Notamacropus eugenii: one gene and its partners. The protein of the gene in region 2 binds, or shares a complex with, the protein of the main gene of each other region. Links are inferred from orthologs where the notes say so. Each region holds a gene or a part of one and is shown on either strand. Other genes may lie near its edges.

The links.
Region 1: the proteins of ITSN1 (region 2) and AP2A2 are in contact, whole or in part, in a crystal structure (PDB 3HS8), measured with the Mus musculus proteins. The link is inferred for Notamacropus eugenii from reciprocal best matches to the Homo sapiens genes ITSN1 and AP2A2. Residues at the interface, in NP_034717.2 of Mus musculus: Asn841, Trp843, Ala844, Phe846, Ser847, Ser848; in XP_006536218.1 of Mus musculus: Glu308, Gly320, Val321, Glu324, Gln329, Gly331, Leu332, Lys333, Phe346, Gly348, Asn349, Lys350, Gly386, Ala387, Gln388.
Region 3: the proteins of ITSN1 (region 2) and FCHSD2 are in contact, whole or in part, in a crystal structure (PDB 6GBU), measured with the Homo sapiens proteins. The link is inferred for Notamacropus eugenii from reciprocal best matches to the Homo sapiens genes ITSN1 and FCHSD2. Residues at the interface, in NP_003015.2 of Homo sapiens: Pro1076, Ile1078, Gly1098, Leu1100, Leu1102, Gln1117, Ala1118, Arg1119, Gly1120, Lys1121, Lys1122, Arg1123, Leu1136, Ser1137, Pro1138; in NP_055639.2 of Homo sapiens: Tyr576, Gln581, Thr582, Asp584, Glu585, Gln602, Asp603, Asp604, Asp605, Gly606, Phe607, Val618, Pro620, Val622, Leu623.

What each region holds. Positions count from the first base shown.
Region 1 is NC_092873.1:27,298,603-27,307,983, forward strand, and holds the start of AP2A2 (AP-2 complex subunit alpha-2), read right to left. Parts: upstream 3,651-9,381; 5' UTR 3,502-3,650; coding exon 3,435-3,501; intron 1-3,434. UniProt on the Homo sapiens protein: Component of the adaptor protein complex 2 (AP-2). Adaptor protein complexes function in protein transport via transport vesicles in different membrane traffic pathways.
Region 2 is NC_092876.1:425,620,072-425,629,562, forward strand, and holds the start of ITSN1 (intersectin-1), read right to left. Parts: upstream 4,574-9,491; 5' UTR 4,443-4,573; intron 4,422-4,442; exon of another isoform or gene 3,744-4,421; intron 1-3,743. UniProt on the Homo sapiens protein: Adapter protein that provides a link between the endocytic membrane traffic and the actin assembly machinery. Acts as a guanine nucleotide exchange factor (GEF) for CDC42, and thereby stimulates actin nucleation mediated by WASL and the ARP2/3 complex.
Region 3 is NC_092876.1:132,594,032-132,604,271, forward strand, and holds the start of FCHSD2 (F-BAR and double SH3 domains protein 2), read left to right. Parts: upstream 1-5,963; 5' UTR 5,964-6,514; coding exon 6,515-6,535; intron 6,536-8,781; coding exon 8,782-8,879; intron 8,880-10,240. UniProt on the Homo sapiens protein: Adapter protein that plays a role in endocytosis via clathrin-coated pits. Contributes to the internalization of cell surface receptors, such as integrin ITGB1 and transferrin receptor.

The DNA of each region.
Region 1 (9,381 bases), on a different chromosome or scaffold from region 2:
TGCCTAGCCCCCTCCCCTCCAGGGCTGATGACACAAATATTCAAAGCAAGAATTGAAGCCAGCAGTTCAGCTGCAGGGCCAAGGCAAGGCCCAAGGGTCCTTCCATGGAGGGTGAGAGTGAGGGGCACCTCAGGTGACTGTCAGCAGAATGGGTGACAAGCTGTTTGAGAAGTACGGAATGTGGACAGGACGTGCAGCAGGCAATCAGGGTAGAATTGGGAGAAACAAAAGGTCTGGGAGTTTAGCCCTGAAAATCATGTGCACAGAGACTGAGAACTGACCCCGAGGGAGATGATGAGGTCATCAAGGGAGACAGTGGTGGGGCCCCAGGCTGTGCAGGTGTGACCTGGAGCAAGGCGGATTCTAAGAACTTCCAGACCATCGTGTGTGTGTGTGTGTGTGTGTGTGTGTGTGTGTGTGTGTCTCTGTGTGTGTGTCTCTGTGTCTCTGTGTGTCTGTGTGTGTCTGTGTCTGTGTGTGTCTGTGTGTGTGTCTGTGGAGTGGTGGCAGGGAGGAATGTGTGTGTGTGTGTGTGTGTGTGTGTGTCTCTGTGTCTGTGTCTCTGTGTCTCTGTGTGTCTGTGTGTGTCTGTGTCTGTGTGTGTCTGTGTGTGTGTCTGTGGAGTGGTGGCAGGGAGGAATGGGTATGACCAAAAAGATGGGGAGCCTGCCATCCCTGAAGCCTGAGATCAAAGGGGAACCTCATCTGGACCCCAACCTAATAATGGCTGCCCTTGGCAGGCTTCACGTGAGGCTGAAAGGTAAGAAAGGTAAGAAAACACCATCTTTCCTTGAAAAGCTCCTCCCCTCCCTGCCAGCCTGCCACTCTCTGCCAGAGGAACTCTCAAGTGCGGCCATTCACTCATTTCCCAAAGAGACATTAAGCACCCCAGAGTGACCAGTGGCCAAGCTTCCGTAAACTCGCAAAATAATCCAAGTGATCCTCCTTTTTAAAAAGCTGAGTCTCTAGCTTCACCCCAAACACCCAGAGTTCCAAGACCAATATGGGAAAATGAGTCAGGGTATTCCTGCCCCAGACACAAGGGGCAACAGGACCCTGCCAGCTTCAGAGCCGCTGCTCACCAGTCCAGGCGCCCTATTGCTTTGAAGGCATCAGCTCTGACAAAGCTTCCAAACTCTGAGAATCTGGCAAAAGAGGTCCGACAAAGCACTCTGAATGTTACTGGGCCATCTCAAGACTCACTGCCCACATCAGGCCCAAAATGTTTTCACCTGGACCTATTTGGGGAGCCTGGTGATCCTGGCTACTCTGATTAAGGGGCCTTTAGACTCCCAAAAACTTTGATTTCTAAGCCCATGTCTACACATGCCTGCCACAGAATGCTGACACAACCTCCTTATTGAGGGGTTCAACAGGAGAGGCTGCTTTGGTTTTCTTGTTGGAAAGGACCCTAAAGACAGCCCTCTGCACCCTAAAGAACGTGAGGACCCTCTCTCCAGCTCAGAGTGGAAATTGTCCAGTGCATGATGTTTCTTCCATTAGAAAGAACAAAACACACTGCACACACACTAAGCATTCAAATGCTTTTTCGTTCATTCATTCATTCATTCAAAAAAAAAAACCAACTGGTCTCTTTTTGGGGGGAAGAGAAGGTAGGTCCAATATCTGGTCATCTCCTAACTAAATGGATAGCTTGGACTGCAGAAATGTAAGGGAAGACAAAGAGGAAAGGGAAGGTCACAGGGCACTCAGCCCCACAAGGGGCACACAGACCCTCAGAGGGCACACAGGCGCACAGAGCTTGGGGGGGAGGCACTCAGACCCTCAGGTGCCACACAAGCCACACAGGGCATACAGAGCTTGGGGTGGGGAGGCACTCAGACCCTCAGGGGATACACAGGGCATACAGAGCTTGGGGGGGGCACTCAGACCCTCAGGGGATACACAGGGCACACAGACCATCTAGGCTAGACCTCAGGAAGAACAATGACAGGAATTCCTCATGTGGCAGGAATGGGGAGGGGGGGCACAGAGACTCCAAACTAGGGAACCTCCAGCCAAATGAGGCCAGAGCTTCCCTGAAGGAGGGCCACGGTACATGATCATTGACAAGGAACCAATCACCAGGCAGACCCAGTGAATACAGTCCTCCCTCTGTGTGCTGATGTGAGAAGGCCAGCTGGGTGCACTCAGCAGCCCCCAGGTGAGGGGGCACAGGGGATATGCCCCAGGCGCCCGCGGAAGCTCAGCCCTGGGGAGCTTACAACGCACAGGTGTAATTAGGGCTGCGGGAGGGAAGCTGGCCGGGCTTTGGAGGGGGCTGAGCCACAGAGACCCCCCAGCCTGGCATCTGGAGGGTGTGTCTCGGTTTTCAAGAATAAGGAAATGAGGTCTGCCCCTGATCCCCGAATCCTCCAAAGGCAGCGACGGCCCAGGGGGCGTGCCCGGGCCCTGGGCATCGCAGGAAGGCTCCGGGGTGCTGGACAATGGCCAGGACCTCCCTGGCCCGGGATCGGCGGCGGCCGGCTGCCTTGGGCCGGCCCGGGGACAGCTCCGCGGGTCAAGGCCAGCCCGGAGCTCGGCACCCCCCCATTGGGGAGCGGCTCCCCGTTCTTGGCCAAGGGCGGCCGGATGTCCAGGCAGGGACCCCCAACACAATCCCAGCCCGCAGGGGGGCTGGGTCCGAGGCTTCGGGGAGGTGGGAAACTGAGGCCTCCCTCCTAAGCAATTGAAATGAATGAGCCACACAGACCTGTCACTGCCCCCTCTCCGCGTCCGGAGGGCCCGGGGCCCCAGGAACCCCGGGCGGGGGGAGGGGGGCTGGCGGGAGGGGCGGGAGGCCGCGGCCGGCCCTGGATGCCCCCCCACTCCCCCCGGGGGGACGCCCGGGCCTGGCCCCGCCCGAGCTGGAGCACCGCGGGGAGGTGGGGAGCACCGCGGGGGGGAGGGCAGCACAGCGGGGGGGAGGGGAGCACAGCGGGGGGAGGGGAGCACCGCGGGGGGGGGGGGAGGGGAGCACAGCGGGGGGGAGGGGAGCACAGCGGGGGGGGGAGGGGAGCACCGCGGGGGGGAAGGGAGCACCGCGGGGGGAGGGCAGCACCGCGGGGGGGAGGGGAGCACAGCGGGGGGGGAGGGCAGCACCGCGGGGGGGAGGGGAGCACCGCGGGGGGAGGGCAGCACAGCGGGGGGGGGAGGGCAGCACAGCGGGGGGGGGGGGAGGGCAGCACAGCGGGGGGAGGGGAGCACAGCGGGGGGGGGAGGGCAGCACAGCGGGGGGGGAGGGGAGCACCGCGGGGGGGAGGGGAGCACCGCGGGGGGGAGGGGAGCACCGCGGGGGGGAGGGGAGCACCGCGGGGGGAGGGGAGCAGCGCCGGGCCGTCCCCAGGCCTTCCCAGTGGCCGCAGCTCGGGCGGGGGCCCGGGGGGGGGGGGGAACACGCAGTCCGGCTCCCTCCCCTTCCCCCCCGCACTCACAGTTGCGGATGTCCGAGATGAACACGGCCAGGCCCCGCATCCCGTCGCCCTTGGACACGGCCGGCATGATGGCGGCGGGGGCTCCGGCCCGGCTCCGGCTCCGGCCTGGGGTTCCCTCCGGGTCTCCGCCGCCTCTGCTTCAGTCTGTCTCTCCCCCGCAGGAGCTGGAGCAGCAGCAGCACGCGCGCCCCCGGTCACGCTCGCCCCGCCCAGACGTGCGCGTGTCCGCACGCACGCACACGGGCGCCAGCACGCCGTGCCCGCGCCCTTGGGAGCTCGCGAGCGCCCCCTCCAGGTCGGAGGAAGCAGCGTGGGGGCCCGACGGGCGGGGGAGCGGCGAGTCAGGGCGCATGCGCCGGCCTGCGCTGGTCTCAGGAGGCAGCCAGCCCTTAGAGCAGGGTGCGAGCTTGTCTTTGCAGGGAAGCGCGTGGGACTCGCTAAGCTTATTGTCAGCATCCTAGCCAGATGCAGGCTGCACTCAGCGGCCCCCAGGCTTCGGTGAATCTTCGGACAGACTCCCCTCCTTGGACTTCAAAGGCCTCTGGCCCGGTCCACCCTGGGCCACCCTTGGCCACCTTGGGCCACCTTGGGCCATTTTGGGCCACCCTTGGCCACCCTTGGCCACCTTGGGCCACCCTTGGGCCAGTGGGCAGGAGCTCAGGCCAAGGCACAGACCATGAAGGAAGGCTTCCTGTGTGTCAGGCACTGGGGACATAGCCAAGCCAGGCCCAGGTTCAGGCTCTGGCCCAGAGTCAGGTCTGGGGAGCACAGGTCCAACGCCCCGTAAGGGGCAGCAGCCCCTGGGGCAGAGAAGGGAGGGGGGCCTGCATTAATGGGACAGGCTCATTGCCTTCCACAATGGTGACCCAGCCAGAAACTCCTGCCCTCCAGCTAAGATGACTGGGGCACTGACAGCACAAGGGGTATAAATCCAAGGTGAGAGACACATAGCAGCTCCCCTCAAGGAGGTTCCTTTTTTTTTTTTTTTTAAGGCAGTCAGATTTGACTTGCCCAGGGTCACACAGTTAGGAGGCATCAAGGGTTTGAAGGCAGATTTGAACTCAGATCCTCCTGACTCTAGGGCCTATGCTCTAGCCACTGCACCAGCTAGCTGCCCCAAGGAGCTTGTCTTCCAAGGGGAGGAGGAGGGAGCCGGATGAAGGTGCCCAAGCTACAGAGAGGACTGGAGGAAGGAGGCTGCTGGGCAGGACCTTCCTCAAAATGGAGACTTGGGAAAATGTGGTCCATGGGGAGAGGGGCCAAGGCCTCCCAGGCTCTATGAGTCCTCTCTCAGCTCTCTTAGAGAAGTTTCAGTGGGCCTCTAACCTCTTACATCTCCAACTGAATGAGGGCATCATAGACCACTGGTACAGCCTTCAGGTCTTCTCTGTGGCCTACCACAGAGAACGGAAATCCCTGGCCCTGGCATTCTCCTCCCTCCATGATTTAGCTCCACCCATGCTTCCCAGCTTTAATCATGAAGACTTTAAGGTTGGCAAAGCATTTGCAAATATCTCAGTGGATCCTTCAAGAGAAGTGCTATAGATGCTCATGTTACAGATGAAGAAACTGAGGCAGGGAGGCAGAAGATAAGTGACCTACCCAGGGCCAGGTCCAGCATTCTATGCCCTGTGGTGCCCCTAGCCTGGAATGAGCTAACTTTGCTCTCTTTGACTTCAGTCAGGAAGCTGGGGTTCAGACCATCTGTCAGCCAATAAACATTTCTTAAACGCCTACTCCATAGCTAAACAGCAATGTCTCCCCCCAAGAGAGATTTCACACAGAGGTCCTGCCAACCCAATATGCATGTGTTCACTGCCCCCTCTGAGCCAAGCCCTGTGCCACAGGCTAGGAGAACCAAGACAGAATGAAAGTCCCAACTTGCAGGAACCTGACATTCTCCTAAAGGAAGAGGCTGGTGCCCATGATTGTAAATTGGCAGCAACTAGTAGGATGAGTCTAGTCAGGTCAACAAGCATTTAAGTGCCTACTATGTGCCAGGAGCTGTATATATAGACCACAAGGGATGCCAAGAAAGGCAGAATGGCCTCTGCTGTCAAGGGACTGTGAGCTAATCATGGAGAGACCACATGCAGAGTGAGGTACAAACCAGCTCTAAACTGGATGGATCTGAGACACTCAAGCAACGAGGAAAGCACCAACAGGCCAGTTCCAGCTGAAACTTGATGAGAGGAGCCAGGAGGCAAAGACCCAGGCAGGTGGCACAGGCAAGGCAAATACCTGTAGTCCGGAAATGGAGGGTCTTGTTTAAGAAACAGTGAGGAGGCCAGTGTCGCTGGCTAGCTTTGTGTGCTGAGCATGCTGCATGGCACATAGTAGGCACTTAATCAATGTTGATTGCCTATTTAATAACTGATAAGTACATGGATAAGGTTGTCAGAAGACTGGAAGCGGGGAAGGCGAGTTAGGGGAGGAAATACTTTCAAAGCCAAGTGGAGGGTTTTATTTTTACTCCTAGAGGTGATAGGGAGCCCCTGAAGCTTCCTCCACAGGATGGGTGACAAGAATCAGACAGTCAAGGATGGACCAGGAAGGGCCTCCTATGGACTGGAGCCATGAGCAAGGGAAGAGACGAGGGGACAGCCCTGCAAAGGCACAATGTCCTGCTGTTGTTCCAACTTCCTTTGGATAAGGACCAGTGACCTCACGGGGTGATGTCTTCCCTGCTCCTGAATTGGATGTAAGTGAGACAGGATGGTACAAAGTCCTGACAAGGCTCCAAGCACTCCATGGCGCCCCCCTCAGTCGCCTTCATGGCTGCGGAACCAATTGTTTTCATCTACCCATTCTGCTGGGAGAAGACTTCACCTGCTTGGAGGAGACACCCCCTAACTCACGGATGGGTTTGAGACCCCTCAGTTCCCTCAACCTGGTTTAGCCCATGTGCCCAGATGATTTTACCAGGTGTGACCACTACACACGCTCCAGCTTCTGGGAGCCACTGGTGGACACCAAAGGTAGATGAGCAGCCCTCACCCCAGAGGGGCTTGTCCTGCCTAAACACCCCATACGTACTGTGTACACACACACACACACACACACACACACACACACACACACACACACACACACACACACACACACACCTGGAAGCCACAGGTGACATTTGGGTGTCAGGGGGACACCAAAGGTGGATGAGCAGCCCTGAGAAGTGCCCAGTAGCCCTCATGCCACGGAGGCTGGTCCCCTCTGAACACCCCATACACCCCACAATGTCCTGTATGTTCAGTGATGACTGTGCCAATTTGGCTGAATGTCAGGTATGGGGAGGACTTGAGTGAAAAAAGCCTGGAAGGCCAGATTGGAATCAGACTGGCAAGGGCTTCCAAAGTCAAACAGGGGAGTTTGCATTTTTCTCTGAAGGCCATAGGGAGCCACAGATGATTCCTGAATCCAGGCTTTCAGGCACAGTGCTGAGTAGGGACTGGAGCTGGGAAAGGCTAGAGGCATGGGTGTCAGCTACCTGGCAAGGACACAAGTCCTTGAGTTCCTCTGCTGCTTTACCCAGCCTTCTCCTTGGGAAGGGCAGAGGCCTCCTCCTCTCAGGCTTCATCCCCTTCCTTTCCCTGGGCAGCTCCTCTGCAGGAGAAGTAAACTCTCTGAGGCCAGGGACCTGGTCAAACTGTTCCCTGACTATCCCAGGGCTTTTCCCAAGGTCACAGCATTGGAAAGTGTCTAAGGTCACATTTCAACTCAGGCCTTCCTGATTGTAGGACCATCTCCCTACCCACTGTACCACCCAGCTGCCTCAGGAATCTGAGGAATTGTCTTCAGGTTCCTCTGGCTGCTGCCCATCTGCCTTTCTTCCCTAGGCCTCAATTTCTACTCTGTAAATGAGGGTGTGGACAGAAGGCTGGACATGGAACTCGGCTCAGCTTCTGGAGTGCACAAAGTCTCTTCCTCTGTGCTGGGCCTGGTTCCTTCTCTGTAAGAGGAGGCTCAGTTTGAGTTCCCAGGGGTCCTTTCCACTCACTGAGTCAGCGCCTGGCCAGAAGCTGGTGGGCTGCCTGGGGGAGGGGGAGCTGGGGCCAGGGCCTGGAGCTCACCCTGCTGAGCTGCCGAGCTTGCAGAAGGAAGAAATCTTCAAAGAACTGGGTCAGCACCTTCCTGAGGAGGGGCGCCTCAGGCTGGTCTGGGGCTAGGGGGGGCAGGGGAGAATCTGCTGAGTGGTTGGAAAACAGGAGCCACAGGAAGCTTCGCTGGGGGTTTCTGGGGAACAGGGAGGGGGACCTTGGTTCATCTGGAGGCACTTTGCCCAGAAAAGAGGCATGACACATGCTTTGTCCAGAAATGTTGAGAAAGCCTCCCTATCTTCCCCCTTCCTGCCCGGCTCTTCCTGACAAAGACCCCAGCCAGCCCTGGCCTAGGGGGGAAATGAAGCCTGGGGGAGGCGGATTGACCGGCCAGAGGAGAGCCAGGGCCTCACAGTCAGCAAGGACCTCTGGGAGAGACCGCCCTCTGGCCAGGATGTGAGGCACAAAGCTCCTTCTGGGCAGGGCTGGGGCAGATGTTGGACAGCTGTGGCCAAACCGAGGTCTCCACCCAGTTCAGAAAAGGGAAGTCAGGTTCTCCCAGTGGCCACTGCAGGGCCTGGGGGTTTCCTGGAAAAAACAGCTACCAAAAAACCCCCCAAACCGGATTCAATGCTTGCAGGAGAATAATGAAGTAGCCTTCCCTTGCCTAAGCAAATACCCAAAAGGAGCCCTTTTCTCTCCTCCTGCAGGGGGCCTCCAGGCCAATGGGGGAGTGGGTGGGGGGTACAGAGACCTCAGGCCATGGGGCCTGGGCTGGGAGGAGGAGAGTGCTCATGGAAGCAGATAGAGGCTGGCCTTGGGGAGCGCGCCTTCTGGGGAGGCCCCTTAGGGCACAGAAGTCAACTCCCAAGATGCCTGAGGCTCTCTGTACCACAGGCTCTACCAGCCCTTTCCAGAAGAACTCTTTTTAATCCTGGTGACTTAACTATGCCAAGATCTTGGCCCCACCCAAAGGGCAAGGGGATCCTTCTTCCTTCTTACGAGTGCTGAAAGTGCCTTGGCAAGGGCCAGGGGAGCTGTGTGAGCTGAGGAGGGTGGGTGGAGGCCATTTGTAAAGGCATTTTGACATCTACCACGCCCCAGGCACTGTGCACTTTTACTGGGGTTAAAAACAGAAAAGTGAGATAGACAGACCTTACATTCCATCTAGATACGCAAACAAGTACATTCAAACATGAACAAAGTTTCATGGGGGGTCCAGGCAGGAGACTGGGATGTGTGGCCTGGGCAGCTATGGGGAATTAGGGAAAGCCTCCTGCAGGAAGAGGCAGCCAGAGAAGCTCTAGGTGACAAGAGGTAGAAATGAGCAGGGAGACCACCATAACTGAGTGGGGCAGGCCAAGGCACTGACCACTCTGCCTGCCCTCCAGGTTTGCCCAGGTTCCTGGGCAGGGGGCAGAGAGGGAGGGCTATTTGCTCAGGAGGAGAGTCTGCCTCCATGGTTTCAATCCCACCCTCACCCTGGCCTCATAAGGAATAACTAATTCTATGTTGGCCACACCAAGGTGTCCACAGCCCACCTGGGCATCAAGACCAGGGCTAAGGCTCAGCAATTGTAATCATGCCAGAGCCTGGTGCCCAATCCTCTGGGGACACAGGCCACAGGCCACAGGCCTAGGGGGCAGAGTCTCCCTCTCTCCTCCAGACAGCCCAATCAGCACCAGGTCAGCAATGCTCTCCTTTGGGGATGACTCCTTCTCTCTTAGCCAGTCAGCGTCTACTGTTACAGCTGCTACAACTGCCTTGTCAGGGGGGAAGATGCCAGCTGCCTTAGAGATCTTGCAAGCCCCCATTTAAAAGGAAAGGAGCCAGAAATGAGGGGCAGTCCCATCCCAGATACAGGCTCGCCGTGTGCTCCCAGCCTGCTCCTCCAGAGTTCAGAGTCATCCTTA
Region 2 (9,491 bases):
AAGTGAGGGATTCTGGGAGGGAGAGGTGAGGAAGAACCAGTGCATGTCATGTATAAGTGATAGTGTCATGTGTAAGAAAGTCAATTTGTTTGGACTACATAGTGTACATAAAGGAGAGTACAGTGTAAGAAGGCTGCAAAGATAGGATGGGGCTATGTTACAAAGGGCTTTAAATGCCAAACAGAGGAGCTTATACTTGACCCAAAATGTAACAGAGAGCTTGTGGCTAATGTTGTCGTTCAGTTGCATCTGACTCTCCATGACCCCATTTGGGGTTGGCTTGGCAAAGATACTGGAACAGTTTGGCATTTCATTCCTCAGCTCAGCTTACAGATGAGGAAATTGAGGCAGAGTTAAATGACTTATTCAGGATCACACAGTTAATAAGTGTGTGAGGTCAAATCTGAACACGTCTTTTTATGTCCAGGGCTGGCACTATATCCACTGCGCCATCTAGCTGCCCAAGAGGGAGCTAGTGGAGTTTATTTGTGGTGTGTGTGTGTGTTTGTCCTTGGTTGCCAAAGAAGACCATGCCATCAGAGAAATAATGACATGACTTGCACTTGACTTTGTTTTGCATGAGGGAGGGATGTGCAGGTCACCAGCCTCACTTCTCCTCCAGAGCCATCTGAATCCATGAGGATAGAAAGGAGCATCATAAAGAAAAGACTAAATATTCATCAGGATAACTGGAGATGACCCTGGATGAAGCAGTTAGGGTTAAGTGACTTGCCCAGGGTCACACAGCTAGTGAGTGTCCTGTGTCTGAGGCGAGATTTGAACTCAGGTCCTCCTAACTCCTGCATTGGTGCTCTATCCACTGCACCACCTAGCTGCCCCGAGTTTATTTATTGAGTATGGAAGTGAAATGATCAGACCTATGCTTTAAGAATAATCAATTTCACAGCTGTGTGGAGGATGGATTAAAAGATAATAGAAGGAACCAAGTAAGAGACTATTGCAATAATCCACATGAGAGGTAATGAAGACCTGAACTAGGGTGACATTTGTCTAAATTGAGAAAAGAGAACAGATGGAAGAGATGTTGTGGAGACAGAATAGACAAGATCTAGCAAGATATATAAGTGAAGGGTTGCAGTCACAAAGCTAAATAGAAAATAGAAGGACAGCAGGGCCCTGAAGAGATAAAGTTTAGAAGGTTTACAGGTAGAAAATTAAGAAGTTTGATTTGGACATGTTGATTTTGAGCTAACTATGAAACATCCACTTTAAAACACCCAAAAGTCATTTCATGATGTGTGCCTGGAACTGAGGAGAGTGACTAGAAACATATATCTGAGAGTCACAGAGAGGACTGCTGAGTTATGTGACCTAATAAGATCACCAAGTTCAGAATTACAGAATAAAAGGATTTGAAGAACCTTCAATGGCCATATGGTCTAAAAGAATCCCCACTACTCAACAAGTGGTCAGCTTTTAAGCCTTTGATTAAAGACCTTCAAGGAGAGGGAAATTACTACCTCTCAAGGCAGCTCATTCCATTTCTGGACAGCTCTAATTGTTGAAAAATTTTCACAATCTCAAGCTGAAATCTGCCTCTTTCCAACCTCTACCCACACAGCTCCTAGTTCTTTCCTCTGGGGACAAATAGAACACATGACTACCCCTCAAATACTTGAACACATGCCTTCCTGAGTCTTCTTTTCTCCAGGGAAAACTGGTCCAGTTCTTTCAACTGATTCTCATTTGTCATAAACTGAAGAGTTCCTTCACCATCCTGATTGCCCTCTTTTGCTCACTTTGCAGCTTACAATGCCCTTCTTAACCCATGGTGCCCAGAACTGGACACAATATTCCAGATGAAGTCTGACAAAAACAGAGTACAGTGGGATTCATTCATCTTAATGTATATCTGGAGTAGGAATGATTGATAAGACAATGAGTTGAGACCAGAAATGAATGGATGGCACTTGAGTAACTGTATAGTCTTTACAAGAAACCCAAAATACTCCCCAGGACAAAAATGCATCATTTTTAACACACTCTCTCATAAGGCTAAATGGTTTGTTTCAAATCTCAAAACACCACAACATCTAAAAAGTCAAAGTTGCAAGTAATTCAAAGGGCAATGAAGAATTGCATGATGGACACAAGAAGCCTGTTCCCAACCATGAAATGTACAAGGCAAAAAGAACATCCAAAAAAATTCTACTTAAAAAAGGTGGAAGGACAATTAGACAAAACCACAAGTTTAGAAATTCTGCACGTTACATTACAATTTCTTTCCTTTGGCAAAAAAGAAACTGATTGATGCCACCATTAAATAGTAGATACCAAAAGTTTTCCTATTTTAACAACATACCAAAATGTCCTTGGGAAAAAAAATCTGCCACAGTTCCAACGGACTGAATACAATAGCTATCGTAACTAATTTGTTTCCTAAAAAGCAAAAATTTATTTTCACTAAAAAAAGAACAGCTGAATCAGGACAAAAGTACTCACAGGAAATATAATCTATAAAGTTGTCTCCTAATTCAAAGGCAAACAGAACTAAAGGCACAGGAAGATGATCCCACATTGGCTTCCTTTTCCTGAGGGTTCCAACTACATTTTCTTGTTTAATTGGCCATGTCCTTCTCTAGGTAAGAGACACGGCAATTGCTCCTTCAGTTGGAATCATAAAACTATGCATGTGGAAAGTGAAAAAAGGAGCAACAGACAGGAAAATCAAGAGAACACAAATACAAACACGCACTATTGGTGATGACCTTATCAAGCCAGGAGACACGAAAATTATTCTTTCTGTTCACAACATAAAACTGTGTGCAGAGGGAAAGGAGGGAAACTGGGAAAGGAAAAGCAACAGAGATGAGAAACCAAACCCATACACGCCTCTCTGGTGGTTCCAGAGAGGGAGATCACAGCAAGAGAATGGATATTAAAACAGGATCCGTGTCCTTCAGTGACACTGGTTTTTGCGAAACCCAGATAAGGATGAGCCAGGGAGAAAAGACTGAAAAACCTATGCCAGTGAGCAGTGAGTAGCTTTGCCAAGAAAACTGGGAAGGTTATGGCTTGGATTATCAAACCCCACCATGACTAGTGGAGGGGTGGGGGGAAGGGGAAGGCTCGTCCGGGAAGGATCCAGCGCCCCCAGCCCCGCAACACGCAGGGGGCGGGGTGGAGAAGAGGGAAGATAAGAGAAGAGGGTTGCTCTTTTCCCAGCCAGGTGTTGAGGCCCGATCAACCTGAAGCCCGATCCTTAAGACACCAAAATCACCCAACAAATCACCCTCGCCCGCCAGGGACTCCTAACTGCAAATCACCGCCAAGGTCTCTTCCTTCCAGGGGCTCCTCTGGGGCCCCGAACGCGCGGAGCCCACCCCTCACTCCGGCCCTGCCCGCCTCGGCGGCGACGAAGGACGACGAGAGAGAGAGAAGGGCAGGGCGCGGGGGAGCCCGGGCTCCGGGGATGGGCAGAGGCGCTGGGGGCCAAAGGCGGCCAGGGGGGTCGCTGCCCAAGTCTCCACCCGGGCGGCCGTGGCTCCCCGACCCGGCCCCGTCACCTCCCAGGGAGATCTCTCTCCCCACACACACACGCGCGCACACACACACACACACACACACACACACACACACAGGCCCCCCCCCCCCCCAGACACACACGCACACACACGCACGCACACACCCGCCGCCTCCACAGCTCCGCGATCCCGTCCTTTCTCTGCTCCTGCCCCCTCCCCCCACGGCCTCAGCCCACCGCCAGCTCGCCTTTCCCCCACCTCATCTCCGGGCGGGATCTGCGCGGTCCCAGGGAGAAATCAGTGCCGGGCACACGCCCCGGGGAGGGATGAAGACGCCGCCGCCGCACCGCACACCATCCCCTCCAGTCCGGGAGCTCTCTCGGGATTCTCCCTTCCGAGCCGCCGTACTCTGGAGCACCCAACTCTATCTATCTATCTATCTATCTATCTATCTATCTATCTATCTATCTATCTATCTATCTATCTATCTATCATCTATCTATCTATCAATCCATCATCTATCTTTCACCCTTCCCTTCAGTCTCGCGCGCTCTCCCCTCCTCCGCCTCGGTCTCTTTCTCTAAACCCCCACTCTACCCCCCAGTCCCGCTTGCACTCTCTCTACCTTGCTCCCCGCCCACAGATGTGGGGGGAAGGGAAGCAACCTCTCAATCCCGAGACTATGGCCCCTCCTACCTCCCGGGAAGGAGGACTCGGACGGTGGGCCGGGCAGGGAGAGGCGGGGAGTGAGAGGGGCGGACTTTTGCACGCCCCGCCTACCCCGGGAAAGGAGGAGGGAAATAATGACATCCAAATGGACCAATAGGAGCTCGGATTTGGAAGTTGGGGGGGTGGGCTCCGCGGCCAGAAGGGAGGGAGGGTTGATGTTAGGAACTGGGCGGGCTGGCATGGGTTGGGCTTTTCGGTGTAATCATTGCACAATCTCGGCCTTTTCACCTTATGTGATGCTGTCACATGCTACGTGGTGCCAGACTGAGTCTCTCTCTATGCTCCGTCACGGTAGCTATTAAATATATTTAGCTGGAAGGGACAGAAAAACCGCCATCGCCCAAAGGCAAGAAGGGCCTGGGGCTCAAGGGAGGGGCGGGGGATTAAGAAGGGCGTCTCCTTGACGACTCACTCAATTTGCATGAAATGGTCGCCTGAATCATGAGACCACAATGCCCAACATGCTTTCGTGAGCAAAGTCCTTCCCTCGCTTGCCGTGGCTCCTGGTGAAGCATGCTGGGAGACGTAGTCTCTTTTAGTTACCGTAGCGCTTTCCTTCCCACGCTACAAGCTGTAGCTGATAGACAGAGGGTATAGGGCCAATGGGGGCAAAGTGTTGGGTTTAGGGGCGGGCTTTAAAACGGAATGACCCGGGACTGAAGAGGACGTGGGGAGTGTGGGTTCCCAATTCTACTCAGGTATGTATCTTCAGCCACCTTACAGTCCTCCTTTCTGGCATGAGGAGGAAGTAGGTTACCGGGCTCGTGACGCGGCGTGGAGACTTTTGGGGAGGGAGGACGGCGGCCCGAAGCCGTTGACCGCCACGGCCCTAGTCCAGTGTTTGGGCCCCGACAGAGCGGACGCGAGTGACGAATTGGCGTTTACGGCAGATTTTTTCTCGATTTCGAACTAGAAAAGATCTGGGAGACCATTTAGTGCATGCACACATGCACACCCCTTACGGACGAGGAAACAGAGCCGGGGGAGTTAGGAGGCCCCATCTTGTTTGGTTTCCCCTTTTCCGCGGAAGAAAGCCTGGTGTATTTTCGGTTTGGACCTTGTCCGCTAGGGGGCGCGGTGGATCGTGTTGTCCCTGGCCTCGGGAGGACCTGAATTCCAATTCTACCTCCCACGTTTTCTGGCCTTGGGACCACCCGGGGCAAACGCCTTCGCCTCCGGTTTCTCAGCTCTAAAATGGGAATCGCCATAGCACCTTCCTCCCTGGGTGGTTGTGAGAATCGAATCAATCAGATATTTGTAAAGCATTTGGCCCCGTGCCTGGCATATAGTAAGTACTTAATAATGTGGGGGGGTTTTCCCTTCAACTTTTGTTTGCTTGTGATTCGAATAAAATTGAATTAACTTTTTTTCACCCTCTGTGGTCAATTGGCAGTATGTTGTTAGTATGGCATCTTAAATAGGTCCCCTTATCTCTTTGAGTCTCAGTTTCTTAGACAAAGGGATCGAGCTGTAAATGTTCCCGCAATGGGTGATTCTTTTTTATTGCCTCCTTGACTTAGGTTGTGTGACGTTTGAGAGCTTTTTTTTTTTTGCAGTCATCATTAACCAAAAGTCACAGGACCCCTATATAGCCTTGTTGTAGAGTGTATTATAATGGTCTAATACTGGGGGTGGGGGGGTTCCAGTCCTCACTTGTGATCTTTGTGTACAGAATTCTCTTTGTGAAAACTTTCCCAACTGATAGAGACGTCAGTCTTCTTCCTCAGTCTTGAAAGTTGGTTGGGGGAGTAAGGAAACAACTATTTATATTAGGTGATTACGCTATGCCAGGCACTGTGCATATTATCATCGAATATGAGGCTGGATTTGAATTCAGATCTTTCTCCCTCCAAGCCTAGCACCCTTATCCACTGCATCACCTGGTTGCCTTGCTGCTGGGAGCATTAAGAATTTAAGTGACAATCCTCATCCAATCACAGTTACTATGTATCAATTCTCTGTATATTTTAGAAATGAGACTTTTGTCAGAAACATTGTTTCCCAGCTTTCTGCTTTCCTTCTAATCTCGATTGCTTTGACTTTGTGCAAAAACTTTTTCATCTAATGTAATCAAAATTATCCATTTTGCATTTCATAATGTTTTCTATCTTGTTTGGTCATAAATTCTTCCCTTCTCTGTAGATCTGATAGATAAACTATTCCTTGCTCTCTTAATTTGCTTATGGTATCACCCTTTATGTCCAAATCATCGTACTTAGTGTGTGTACAGAGGCACTAACCACTGACTTTAGAATTTTCCTTGACCAGAGAGGTTTGTTGCCCGTCAGTGTTGACTTTGTTGGATATGTGGTTCTTTTGTCTCTAGTGTTTTTGTTTTGTGCCACTTCATGCCCCTCTGCTGGTGTTTGTCTGAATTGTTTTTGTATTTTTCTTTCCTTACCTCTTAGTAGTGCACTATTCCTTATCATCCCTATTTTTTATGCCATATTTGTTAGGTTTTACTTGATTGTTTAACGTATACATTGTTTCCAGTATTTTATTAGAAAAATAATACTTTGAGAAAAGGTTTTATGCATGGGGCCTTTAGTTTCCATCACTACCCCTGGAGTACCAATCTGAGTCAAGGGGTATTCACAATTAGGTAACTTTTCTAGCATAATTCTAAATTATTTTCAAGAATAGTTGAACGCCTTTACAGCTCTACCAACAGTGAAATAAGCATACCATTTTCCTACAGTTCTTTTAACAATATATTTTCCAGTCATTTAGCAGCTCAGAAATCAGTTTTTGAAGACCCGTATATTATGCAATAAGACTACTCACTATATAAGCCTAAACAGTCTGGCGCACAAGATTTTCATCCTGAGATTTCCTTTACCTCATTTACAGTTATGCTTAATTTCTCCTTACATATATGTATTCATCACCCAATTTCTGCTATAGACAAGTATTTCTGATCTTTAGCTTACAAAATGAGAGCTAGAGGTATGGACAAAGTATTATGCTAAAAATGGAAACTGTGGCATAAACCTGGTCAGCAGTGTTCTTTGTAAAAAACTGGACTGCCTCTAGTTTAAAGTACAATCATTTATATAATTTTGCCACTTTCTTCTGGAGTCAGATACTATGTAGGAAAATATACTTGAGAAACTGATAAAACTGTTCCACTCATAATCAGAAATAGACTAGATTTATTTTTACTAGGTGTTTATTGCTTTGAATAGCAAAAAAAGTATATAAAAATTCTTAAACTAATACTTGGCTGCAAATTAGAAAGTCTAGAGTGCAAATTCTGCCTCAGCTTACTCACTATATTACCTTAGGCAAGTCACTTAACTTCCATGAACCTGTTTCCCCAAATATAAAATTGGTATAATAATAGTGCCTACTACACTGGGTTTATATAAATCTCAGATTTTACTTGGTAATGCTGAATTACCAGTTTAGTAGTGAATCTGTAATTCAATAATTGTGTGATAGCAAACACCTTCTTTCCCCCTTTGAACTGTACATATGGATTTCAAAGATGTTATTAGACTCAAAAATTCCATCTGTTCAGTGAACATTTTTATCCAAAGAAAAAGAATTTTCTTGGGAAAGAAATAATTTAAATACAAACAAGTCAGAGTATGAGCATGTGGCATGTGAATTATTTTCAGTTTTCATTAATTATAAAAATATTTATTTGACCATTTTTACCTACTGAAAGTTTTTCATTCCTTTGTAAATATTTTGTCATTCTTATAACTCATTTTTGCAACCCAAACAAGAGAATTAAATTATTTCCTCTTACAGTAAGCTAAGAATTAAAATCAGAAGTCTTGAACCACATCCATGTTAGATGCTTCTGGGAGATTGAAAAGGTTTATTAGCTTTGCTTTGATAACGCTGATGAATCTATGATTTCATTGAAACAGGTATTCTAACAGTACAAATTGCAGCCCATCTGTAACCTCTCAGCCTATGCTACTCTTGTCTGTGACCGTCCATAAATTCTCCTTAGAAAAGAACCAAGCATTCTGGGGACTTTCTTCTCTTTCTCTTGATACTTCATGAATACCAGTACAGCACTGGAGCTGGTCAGTTAATATCCTTCATTATATGGACCCATCTCTTTTTCCAGTTAGACACCTTTTGGATGATCTCCTTCATGCCATTTCTTAAGAATGGCCTTCATTGGCATGTAAAGTTTACTCGTACTCCCCTTGTGCCTGTACATTTCCTTTGGGTAACCCCAAATTTTAATTCTTCAGAGACTTTAGTATCCCATGACTCAACGCTGCTGTATAGCATCAACAGAAAATTAGTGGTATTAAAAAGATGCTGTTCTCTGAAATATTAAAAGCCCTGAACAGTTCTTCAAAGGCAGTCCAACTAGCACCTCCAATTCAGTTCTGGACCCAATTCATTGTCCTTCTGCATTGTTTGCCCAAAATATATGCACTAATGAACCAGTTTAACAGGTGGTCCATTATTGTAGTCTGAATAATAAGCATTTTTTGTACACTTAGTCTCTCAATATGAATAATTAAGTCAAACTCTTGAACACTTATAGATCTCCTAAATGAAATGTATAATGTCATAAATACTAAATTCCTACCAATTACTACAATGCCCTTCACAAACAGGAACACCTGTTAAACTTCACTGTCTACGTAGAATCCCTCTTGCATTTGGACTTTGTGGGATGTCCTTCATGAGAGTGGCAAAGACTTTTAGAAAGCATATGTCTCAAAAAAAAAGCTGCCTCCCTATTTTATACACATGCCTTTATGTTAATAATCAGGTAGTTGCTATACAAAGTTATTACACACTTCGAAGAAGCTTGTGTGATTTAGACAGTAATTGGTTGAATGGAGAACCTTAAAAGTAATGTTTTTGCTCTAATGAATCAAATGCTTTTTAATAGACGACACACTCTTAGTCCTATTCTTTTATGCAGTTGTGTGAAAAAAGCTGTGGTATGCTATAGCAAATGCATGCCTGTTTCCTCATACTTTCTGTAGAAAAATTTGTGTAGAGCCCCTATGGGGAAGTATGGGCAGTAGTATTGACATTTTCTTGGTTGCCTTTTTGAGGATAATAATAGTAAGGCCTGAAGTTTTGCCCCAAGAGTTTGGTACCTTCCATTCTTTCAGCTCTCAATACTCCTAAAATTGTGTCAGACCTTGTGTGTCCTTGATCTAGGCCAGATAGGCTTCATATCTTGGTTTTCTTTAGTGCCAGAATTGAGTCAGAGAAAGGAATTAGGCTGGATTTAAGAAACTGTGTAATACTTTTTCAAAGATCTTGAGCTGCTTGCTCCCGCAAAAACAT
Region 3 (10,240 bases), about 290 Mb from region 2:
TTTATCTGCGGGTAGACAGCAAGGCCCTTAGGTCACTTAGTTAAGATGGCAGTATATGGAAGATGGCAGGGAAGGAAAGATGCAAGTCAGATGGGAAGGCCTAGAGGTCTTCCATCCCTTCAAAAGGAAGGGAGTTGCTGACTCCTGTCTCTTCTAAACCTTGTGAGCAGTCAAGTAGCCTGGGTAAAGAAGAAAGAAATGTAGGATGCCCCTGATGGTGGCCACTCTTCCCTGTGCCTCAACCATCCTGGATGGGCTCTGGAACAGTTCTGGAACCGAGGAAAGCTAATCCTGCTAGTCATACCAAGAACACATTTAGGAAAGAAAGAGTAAAGGATGGAAGAAGACTTAATATTTCAGGCTGTCAGTAATCATGGTGGTATGATAATGGCAGGGGAGGGTTCAAAAGGTGTTCTGAAGATAGAAGAGATAGGACTTGGTGACACACTAAACAAACCAGATGATAATGACATTTACATACCATTTAAAATTTGCAAAATTCTTTACATATTTTAACATATATATTTACATATATATTTTCATTCGCTTGGTGAGGTATTATACAGCTGACAAAACTGAGATTCAGAGGTCACAACTTGTCCAAGGTTTCATGGATAGTTTTTGAGACTAGATTGGAACTCAAGTCTTTTTTTGTCTCCAAGTCTAGCATGCTTTTTCCATTATACCACAGTGAGTATGAGAAGCAAAAGGGAAATAAGTCCTATCAGAGGGATTATAGAAAGGAGGTTTAGGGGGAAAGGGAAGAAGCTCAGTTACAGAGGGGTTAATGGAGGTGTCAGTGAGACATCCTTGGCTCCTGGAGGCAGTTGGAGATGAAAGTCTGGGCAGCAGGAGAAGTCAAGGATGGAGATCTAAATTGAGGAGTCGTCTGCATGAAGGAAGGAGGATCATGTATCTTGAGCTAGAAGGGTCCTGAGGGGAGCTAGTTCAACCCTCTGCTTTTAAAGATAAAAATTCTGAGGCCAAGAGAGATTAGTGATCTTGGGACCCAAGATTAATATTGTCTCACTTTAGGCTGTTTCAGGGAGGGGAGGGGCTGGCTCAAGTGTGAATGAGATAGAAATGGATGTGTGATAGTTCAAAGGTATCTTAGAACATAGGACATCAGAGGTGGGAGGGACATTAGAACACAGAATGTTAGCTTTGTAAGCCTTAAAGCACTATATAAATGGATTATTATTATATAGCTAGGTCTTCAAGTGGAAAGTGTATGATGATATATCTACTTGGGTATAGATTAGAAGAGGTAATATTATATATGGGAGTGGTATCAAACCTAAATAGAAACTGGGGCCTTTAAACCTTAAAAAAGGATCTTCATAGCAATATAATAACTTAGAAAACCACCTATTATCATATGTATCATATGGATTATTTCATGTATTTTTATTGTGTTAAATATTTCCCACTGACATGTTCCTCCATGGGTTTGATACCTCTGGTGTAAGGTAAGAATAACAAAAGAGCGACTGGGTCACGTTTCTGACTCTGCTGCCCAAGTGACCTTGGGTAAGTCATGTAACCTCTGAGTCACATCTGTAAGACCACATGATCTGTAAAGTCCCTTCTGGCTCTAATATCCTATGCTTCCTTCTAGCCTTGAAGTTCTGTAAATGGCAGAGAAAGGTATTTCTTAACCTGTCAAAACAAGCAACAATCAGTGGACAGAACCCTCTGTAGCATCCCCAGGGCACAGCAGTGCACAAAGCCCTAATAGCTACCTTGTCTTTAAAATCAATCAATCCACAAGCCCTTACCATGGGCCTGGCCCTGCACTCGGTGACACTTAATAGTCTCAGAAGAGACACTATGCAGGGGAAAGAAACAGCATAACCAGCAGAAATACCTGAGAAATGGGATAGCTATAGATGTTCCTTTTAGGGAAGGAGGTGGATGCAGCTAGTTTGAAAACTGGAAGATGAACAGAAAGAGACAGAATTTCCAAGTGAAGAACTCTGAAACTTTTTTGGGGGCAGGAGGGAGAAATGTACGCTTCTTTAATATTTTACTGTTGAAAAACAGCAAGGGACAATGAGTTGAGTGGCAGGAAATTGAGTTGATGCCCTAATTCCTCGATTTACTAGGTTGTAACCTGGGCACATCAGTTCACTTTTCTGGTCATCCATTTTCCCAACGGTAATACAAAAAATAATAAGCTCAGCACAGTCTCTAGAACATAGTAGGTGCTTAACACATTTACTATCTTATTGACTTTATAAAACTTACCCATTTTGCAGAGTGGCTACGAAGTACTTTATAGAAATGAGTTATTATTAATAACCCTGTGGGGGTAGGTGGCACAAGGATTTTGATTCTCATTTTACAGAAGAGGAAACTGAGGTTCAGGAAAAAAAATTGGTCCATTATCATACAACTAGTAAGAAGCGGAGCTTTGACTTGAATTCAGGAATTGTGATATGGAATTATCAGTGCCTCCATACCTTATGCTCCCTCTACTCACTCATCTGTGAACAAGGGGTATCCTTGCAGCAGAAAGTTCAAACTCCATGAAGGCAGCAGCTGTCTGACTTTTGTATTTGTATCCTTAGGGCTTAGCACAGCACCTGGCACACAGTAAGGACTTACTAAATGCTTGCTGACAAGTTGAAGTACAAGGCTCTTTCCACTTTATCACACAGGAAAGAGGTTGTTCTAATGCTTTTGGGACACATTAAGGCATTTCCATTTCCTCCCCATAATAACCTGAGCATATACCACGTGTTTCTTCCCATGCTAGATCTGTGGGGATTGTGGCTAGGTTTGCTATCCACGAAAGCTGTGGAGTGTAAATGACAAAGAGAAAGGGTACTGGAACACCTTCTTGGGGGTAAATGAAAGGTTGAGAAGTGGAAGGACTTGAGCCCATCCCCATCCCCCAACTCTGGCCTAGGTCAGTGTGATCCGACATTCTACATTCTAAAATCTGTGGCCTAAAAGCTGACACTCATGTTCCAAAGTCTGTTCCAGCTCTGACAGTCTCTGTGTGTGAGAGAGAGAGACGAGAGGGCAGGAGAGGCCAGGGGAGGGGAAGAAAAGGAAACAACAGAAGGGAGGTGAGAGGAGGGGATAAGGTTGTTATACCTGTGGGACAGAGTTCCAAATCTTATTTCAATTAGGATTCCTAGAAATGCAAAGCCCCTCTTCTAGGAAAGAGCTTTTCTTCCTCAGCCTCTGTTCTCAAAGGAGCTTACCTTCAGTGGGGTAGAGGAGAGGGAGGGAAGAGGAGACAACGCACAAACATAAAGGGTGTCCCAAAAATCTTAGTGCAGTTTTCAGCTATTCATGCTTGGAGCTATTAAAGCTTAAAATTGCATTAAAACCTTTGGGACACCATGGTTAAGTATACTGAAAATGAAAGGCTGGTACGTTGAGGAGGGCCAGCTAGGTGGCATAGTGTATAGAGTTCCTGGGCCTTCTCCATGAGTTCAAATCTGGCTTCAGATACTAAAGCTGTGTAAACCTGGGCAAGTCACTTATTAATACTGTTTGCCTCAGTTTCTTCATCTGTAAAATGACCTGGAGAAGGAAACGCAAACTCCTTCGGTATCTCTGCCAAGAAAACCCCAAATGGGATCACCAAGTGTCAGACAAGACTGAATAACACCTTGGGAAGAAAGGTGTGTGTGTGTGTGTGTGTGTGTGTGTGTGTGAGTTTTGGGGGGCAGAGGTGCCCGGATCAGGAAAGGTCTCAGGTAAGTGATGGTGTTTCACCTATGTTTAGAAATAAACTATTAATTGTGAAATGTCTCTGTAAGCAGAGACGGGAAGCAGTGAGGGAATTCCAGGGATGGGGCTCAGCCTGTGCAAAGGAGTGGAGATGAGAGATGATCATAAAGTCTAGGGGTTTAGTACTTTAAATGTAAAACAGACGGGCTGGTATTTGATCCGAGAGGCAGTGGCAGATGAACCAAATGGGCCACGGTTAAAGAGCAAAAGGGTTCAGGGAAATTTCTCATGACAGCTCGGGATGACCTCTCCTTCGTCCGGAGGAGAACTGCCCCTCCCCCCGATCAGAAGCAGCAGCGCTGGGCGCCCCTCCCCTCGAAAGCACGCGGCCGCCTGGCGGACGCACGGTGGGGGTCAGCGTCCTAGAGTACCAGAACGAAACTAGGGAGGGGGGGTGGAAATGTACAAGAAAGGAGGAGTCCAACGGAGCAAACCCAGCCTGCTCCGCGTGCCCGGCTGGGGTACCTGCCTCCTCAGGCGCACGCGTTGCTCCGAGCGGCCCCAACCCCAGCCTCACACGCGAGCGAGCCAGCGCCGCGCACGCGCAGCTGCACTCGAGCTGAAGGAGGAGGAGGGAGAGGAAAGAGGAAGGGGCGGGGCTTATAGTGCGTACGTGTATTAGCATAGCTTTCCCTCCCACCCTCCGGCGTGGAGGCGTGTTAGGGGTGGGGGTGGAGATCTGGAAGTGGAAAGCCTCCTGGAGCCTGCGCGCGCCTCGAACTGGCGGGAAGGCGCATGTAAAGCGTCCCTTGTGCATAAGAGGGAGGCTGAGGGGAGTGTTTGGAACGTTCCACACTCCAATTTATGGTGGGGGGGGGTCCTCTCCTTCTGTCCGCGGCTCCATCCGTTTCCACTTTAGTCCTGTTGGCATCACCCCCCCGCCACTTGTTCCTCAAGTCCGGCTGTTCCAAGGGGAAGTCTAGGCGCCTGCTCTATGGCGGCGGAGGCCCCGCCCCTGAAAGGAGCGAAGGGGCGTCGCGAGGCCTTCACTACGGAGGGAGGGGCCAGGCCAGCTCGGGGGCACCGCCTCTGCCCGGCGGCCCGGCGGGGCGGAGGGGCGGCGGGAAGAGGAGGAGCGTCGGCGCCGGCCCAGGCAGCGGGCCTGCGGGCTCCGCCCCTGCCTCGGGCCCCGAGTAGGGGCGAGAAGGCCACCCCTTTCGCCTAGAGCGCCAGGCTAAGCCACCACCCTCCCGGAGGCCCCGCCCTAGACCCGGCCCCTTGGGACCTGCCCCTTCTCTGACTGGAGAAGCTCGGACCTGCCCCGCACCTCTGACCTGAGGGGACCAGAACTGCCCCCCACCTCTGATCTATGGCTCTTAACTGTCCCCTCCTCCTCTGATTGGAGAGGATCGGACCTGCCCCCTCCTCTGGCCCTAGGGAACCCCCCTGACCGAAGGGAATTGGACCTGCCCACTTCCTCTGACTCGAGAGGACCAGATCTATCCTTTAACCACCCCTGGGGATCAGACTAGCCCCCTTCTCTGGCCCAGGGGACCAAACCAGCCCCCTTCCCTCCTCTGGGCCAGGGGACTCGGTCTTGGTCTTGTCTAACTGGGGTGGGGGACCCACCTCAGCCCTTCTACTCTCCTCTGACTTGAGAGGGCCGGTCCTGCCCCTTCTGAGGGGACCAAGTCTTCTCTTCCCCTTCCTAGATCTAGACAGACCAAACCTGGCCCTCTTCTCTGACTCGACCCCTTCTCTTCTGACCTAAGACAACGGGACCACTCCTTTCTCTCCCTCGGCTCTGCTCCCTCCCTCTTTTCTTCCTCTGACCAGAGAGTATTAGACCTGAAGAGATTACAAAGTATCCTAATGAGTTCACAGGCTCATAAGGTTTAGGGCCAGAAGGGACCTGGGAGGTTGCGCCCCTTATTTGGAAGATAAGGAAGGCCCAAGAGAGATAAGTCATTGGACAAGATAACGTAGGAGGAAACAGAATTTGAATTCGGGTCCACCTGATCCCAAATCAAGTGTTCTCATAGTACTAGATCTTTTCTCTCGCTCCACCGGATTCGAGGGACTAGAAATTCCTCTCTTCTCCTGATGGAGGGAACCGGACCCGCTCTTCCTCAGGCCTGAGAGCACTAACCCTTTCCTGTTCTTTCCCGGAAGAAGGGGGAAACTGCAGACTTTTCCCCTGACCCACTTTCCCCAGAGTCCTCCTCCCCTTCTCAAAGCCCACTCGTATCCCCAGTAGTAGACACTCCCTCGGGCAGGGCCTGAGCCCCTGCCTTCCTCCCTACTCCTGGAGTCTGCCCCCCATCCCCACCCCACGCGTAATTCTCGCCTCTTTTCGGCCACAGAGATCCCTGGTCCCTCTTTGCCCTCTCCCGGGGTTCCTCCTTCCCCTGCTCCTGGGGAGAGCCAGCCCCCCGCCCCTCCCAGTCGCTCACAGAGTCCAGCCCCCCGCCCCGCGCGGGGTCCCCGCCTCCTCGGGAGCTCGCTCTCTGGCACACACACGCGCGCACACACGCACAGCCCGGGGTCCAGCCCAGCCCTCCCCAGGTCTCCTCCTCCTGCGGCCGCCAGGGAAACCTTGCACACAGAGACAGACACACTGGGAGACACACACGCACCGGGCCCAGCCAGCCCTCCCCTGGGTCTCCTTCTCCTGGGGCTGCCCGGGAAAGCTGCATACCCGCACACTCCCGGGCAGGGTCCGGCCCGACCCCCTCCTCTTCTCCCCCTTTCCGTCCCCGCTCTCCTGCTGCTGCTGCTACTGCCGTCGCCGCCGCCGCCGGGAGAGGATTCATGTCCCTCCAGCATCATGCAGCCGCCGCCGAGGAAGGTGAGCGAGCCGGCGGGGCTGCGGCTGAGGCCGGGCGGGGGGCGGGAGCACGCGGGGGGCTCCGCAGCTGCTGCGAGCTGCCAAGGAGAAAGACTGCTTCTCCCCGCCCCGGGCGGGATCTGCTCCTCCCGCAGCAGCCCAGGCACTCGCGGCTTCTCTGGGCGCCGCAGCCCGGGATGCGGAGCCGGGGTGCTGGGGGGTGAGGGGACGCTTGTGGGTCTCTCTCCTCGCCCAGCTGCCACCCCAGGCCCCCCGAGGCCCACCTTCCCTCCGCCCTCACCCGCTCCCTCTCTTTGGGAATGAGGTGGAAGCCTGCGCGGTTTGCAGAAGGAGTTGTATGGATGTGTGAGTGTGTGGTGTGTGTGTGTATGTATGTATATGTGTGTGTGTGTGTGTGTGTGTGTGTGTGTGTGTGTGTGTGTGTGTGTGTGTGCGGTGCGCGCCGGGAGAGTGGATTCCGGTTGCAAAGTGCATTCTCGGGCTTGCACAGAGGCACAGCGAGCTTGGGAACCGAGCAAGCCCCTGCAGTTCTGCAGAGCCTGTGCGACTCAGTGTGTGTATTATTGTTTAGTCTGCACCAAGGCTTCGCCCTCCGCTCCCGCCGCCCCCCATTTTGCAGGATTTGGTTGTGTTCTCCGCTCCTCGCCTGGGCCTGGTTTTCCTCTGGGAGCCAGAGGGGAGAAGTTGAAATGGGCACACCCCTTTTCTCCTCACCTTCTCCCCCCCCCCCCGCCCCCTCCCCAGGAAGGTTTATCGAGCTTTCCCAAGTGAGCAGTCGTGGTGGAGTGCAAAGAGCTGGGTCTCAATCTCGCCCTTGACACTAACTCACTAGTAACGTTGTCTTGGAAAAGTCCCTTCCCTTTTCTGGCCCTCAGTTTCCTTCGTCTGTAAAATGAGGGAGTTGTACTAGGTGACCTCTAGTTCCCTGCTAGGAAAATGAGGTGCCACCTTTCCGTATTCCATAAAGCTCCATGTTTCTAAATAGCCCTACCTGCCGTTTGGGCAAGGTGCTTCAGTCTGAGTCCCCCGCTATCGCTAAGATGGGGGTGGGGTGGGGAAGTTGTGTATTCAGCTGAGGTTATGTTTCTAGTGTAGGGCCGGATGAGTGAAGCAATAGGACTGAGTGCCCAGTATAGGAAGAGGGAAGGAGTTGTGTCAGGTTTGTGTACACCACCTTTTCTCCCATCACAAACAACCATCCTTTCACTCTAAGTAACCCCAGGCCACCTTTAGCCTTTTAGAGTGGGACTGTTTATTTTCTGAAGCTAAACATTTGCTTAATGTCAAATTCCACTAGTGTGTTCTTCCTGTTTTATTTCATTTTTATTTAAATCCGGGTTTGTTTAACAGATTCGGCCCTTGTTTTCTGGGAATGTCTGACACACACACAGAGACACACACACACACACACACACACACACACACACACACACACACACACACACACACACACACACACACACACACACACACTCCAATGTAGCTGGGTAATAGCTCTCATAGTGCTAGACAGATTTTTATCCCAACAGCATAGGCTTCAAGTCACTGAAATATTCTGACACCCTCCTCCAACTAAAAACAAACAAACAAGCCCCAGCTCACCAGAAAAAAAACAACACACCGTTTGAAGTAAACTGCTAAAGTTATCAGGATACTAGTTCACTCTCCTTGCTAAATGGTTACCCTTCCCTCTGTGAGTTAGTGTGTATTCTCTTTTATGAGTGAGTGATTGTGATTGTGTGGGCTGTCAATGAGATGAGTGTATCATTCTCAGGATTTTGTTCCATGCAGCCATTATGGAATAATTTATTTAATCGATGCCCATTTCGTGATTGTGTAACTAGAGTTTATTAGAGGTTATATATGTGAGGGAGGACAGCTTCGCTTCATTTCCCCTCCTTCCCCCCTCCCCCACAGCATGGATGGGCATATTTGCTTATGTTTGGAGAAAAAGAAGATAAATTCTTTTAGATAACAATAAGAGAACATGGGTGCCTGGTTGCTCAAATGATGATCCAACTTGCCCAGCTTGATATCTTTTAAATGAGATTGGTCATTTACCCTTTAGTTAAACCAGTATTTTCGCCTGTTTGGCTAGTTTGTTCATAAAACATTTTATTTTATGGAGATGCTAAGATAGACAATTAGTGAACTGGTAGATGGGCATATAATTTTAAAATTTAGTATTTTTTGTTTTGTTCACATTACAGTCGGTCTTATCTTCATCATTTTCTGGTATATTTTAGGTGAAAGTTACACAGGAACTGAAAAATATTCAGGTTGAACAGATGACAAAACTTCAGGCCAAACATCAGGCAGAATGTGATTTACTTGAAGATATGAGGTAAGGTCACAGCAAACACCTTTAAAAATCCTGTAATATCTCCCTTTTAGAAGAACATTTGAGTTACAAAACCCCAGGAACTGATGATGGAATTTCCTCTTGGATTTCCTGCTTTTCGGCTGCTGGAGCTTTGACACAGCTGGAAATTATAACTGAAGCAAGCACAATACAACCCTTTTCTTCTCTCCAGTGGGGGAAGGCTACAGTGTATAAATGCAGTTGTGAAGAAATCAAACGAAAGTCAAGCATCATAACAGTGATTCTAATTTTAAATGGTCTCTCAGCTGAATGCCTGAGATATATGTTTAAAGACAGCTACTCTGTTGTCTTTAATCCTATTAAACTGTTGAATTCTCAAAAATCATTGTACACCAAAGTGGGCACTTTCAGGGATTGCTGATAACTGTCTTTGGAATCAACAGAAAGTAAATGTTGTTAAAAATTATTCACTGGAACTTGATCAAAAAAACCCAGACCTATCTGGCTTCAGATCCTGGAATGCTTAATCCAAGAGGGAAATTGAAAGTGTTAGATGAATTTTATCGTTGAAGATTCCCTATGTTCATGGTCAAGGTAACATTGCAGTTAATGGGATGGATGCCTTGCAACATTGTGGAATTAGATAACTTTAGAGGGAGTGGTGACTGTACCAAAAGAGAGAGTATTTTTTGTATTAATATTTTAGAAACTTTATTAGAAGTCTCAACTGACAGTAGAATAGATGAAGGTTGTGTATTAGTATAAAAAATGAAAAATATTTATATTAAGGGGTTACATGAAAATAGCTGACATTTATGTAGCTCCTTAAAATGTACAAAATACCTTATCTTATTTGATCCATACAGCAATCCTGTGATGTAGATTCTCTAAGTAGTACTATCACCACTTTATAGATGAAGAGATAGAGCCTTGGTGGTGGTGTTAAGGCTATAAAAAGAGGGAGCTAGGTGGTACAGTAAAATTGAAATCAGGAAGACTTGAGTTCATTCTGGTTTCATATACTTACTGGGCAGGTAGTTATTGGCTGGATGACCCTGGGCCTAAATCATTTAACCTCTCAGCTTCAGTTTCCTCTTCTAAGTAGCTGAATTCAGATCTGACTTGAGACGCTTGCTAGCTCTGGGACCCTGGCCAAGTTAACTTAGCCCATTTGCCTCAGTTTCCTCATCTATAAAATGGGGATAATAATAGCATCTACCTTTCAGGGCTGTTGTGAGCATGAAATGAGATAGTGCTTAGAACAGTGCCTGGCACACAATGTAAATGTTTGCTATTATCAAATGAAATAATATTTGTAAACCATTTTGCAAACTTTAAAGCTATATAAATGCTAGCTATTATTACTCTTACTATCATTCTTA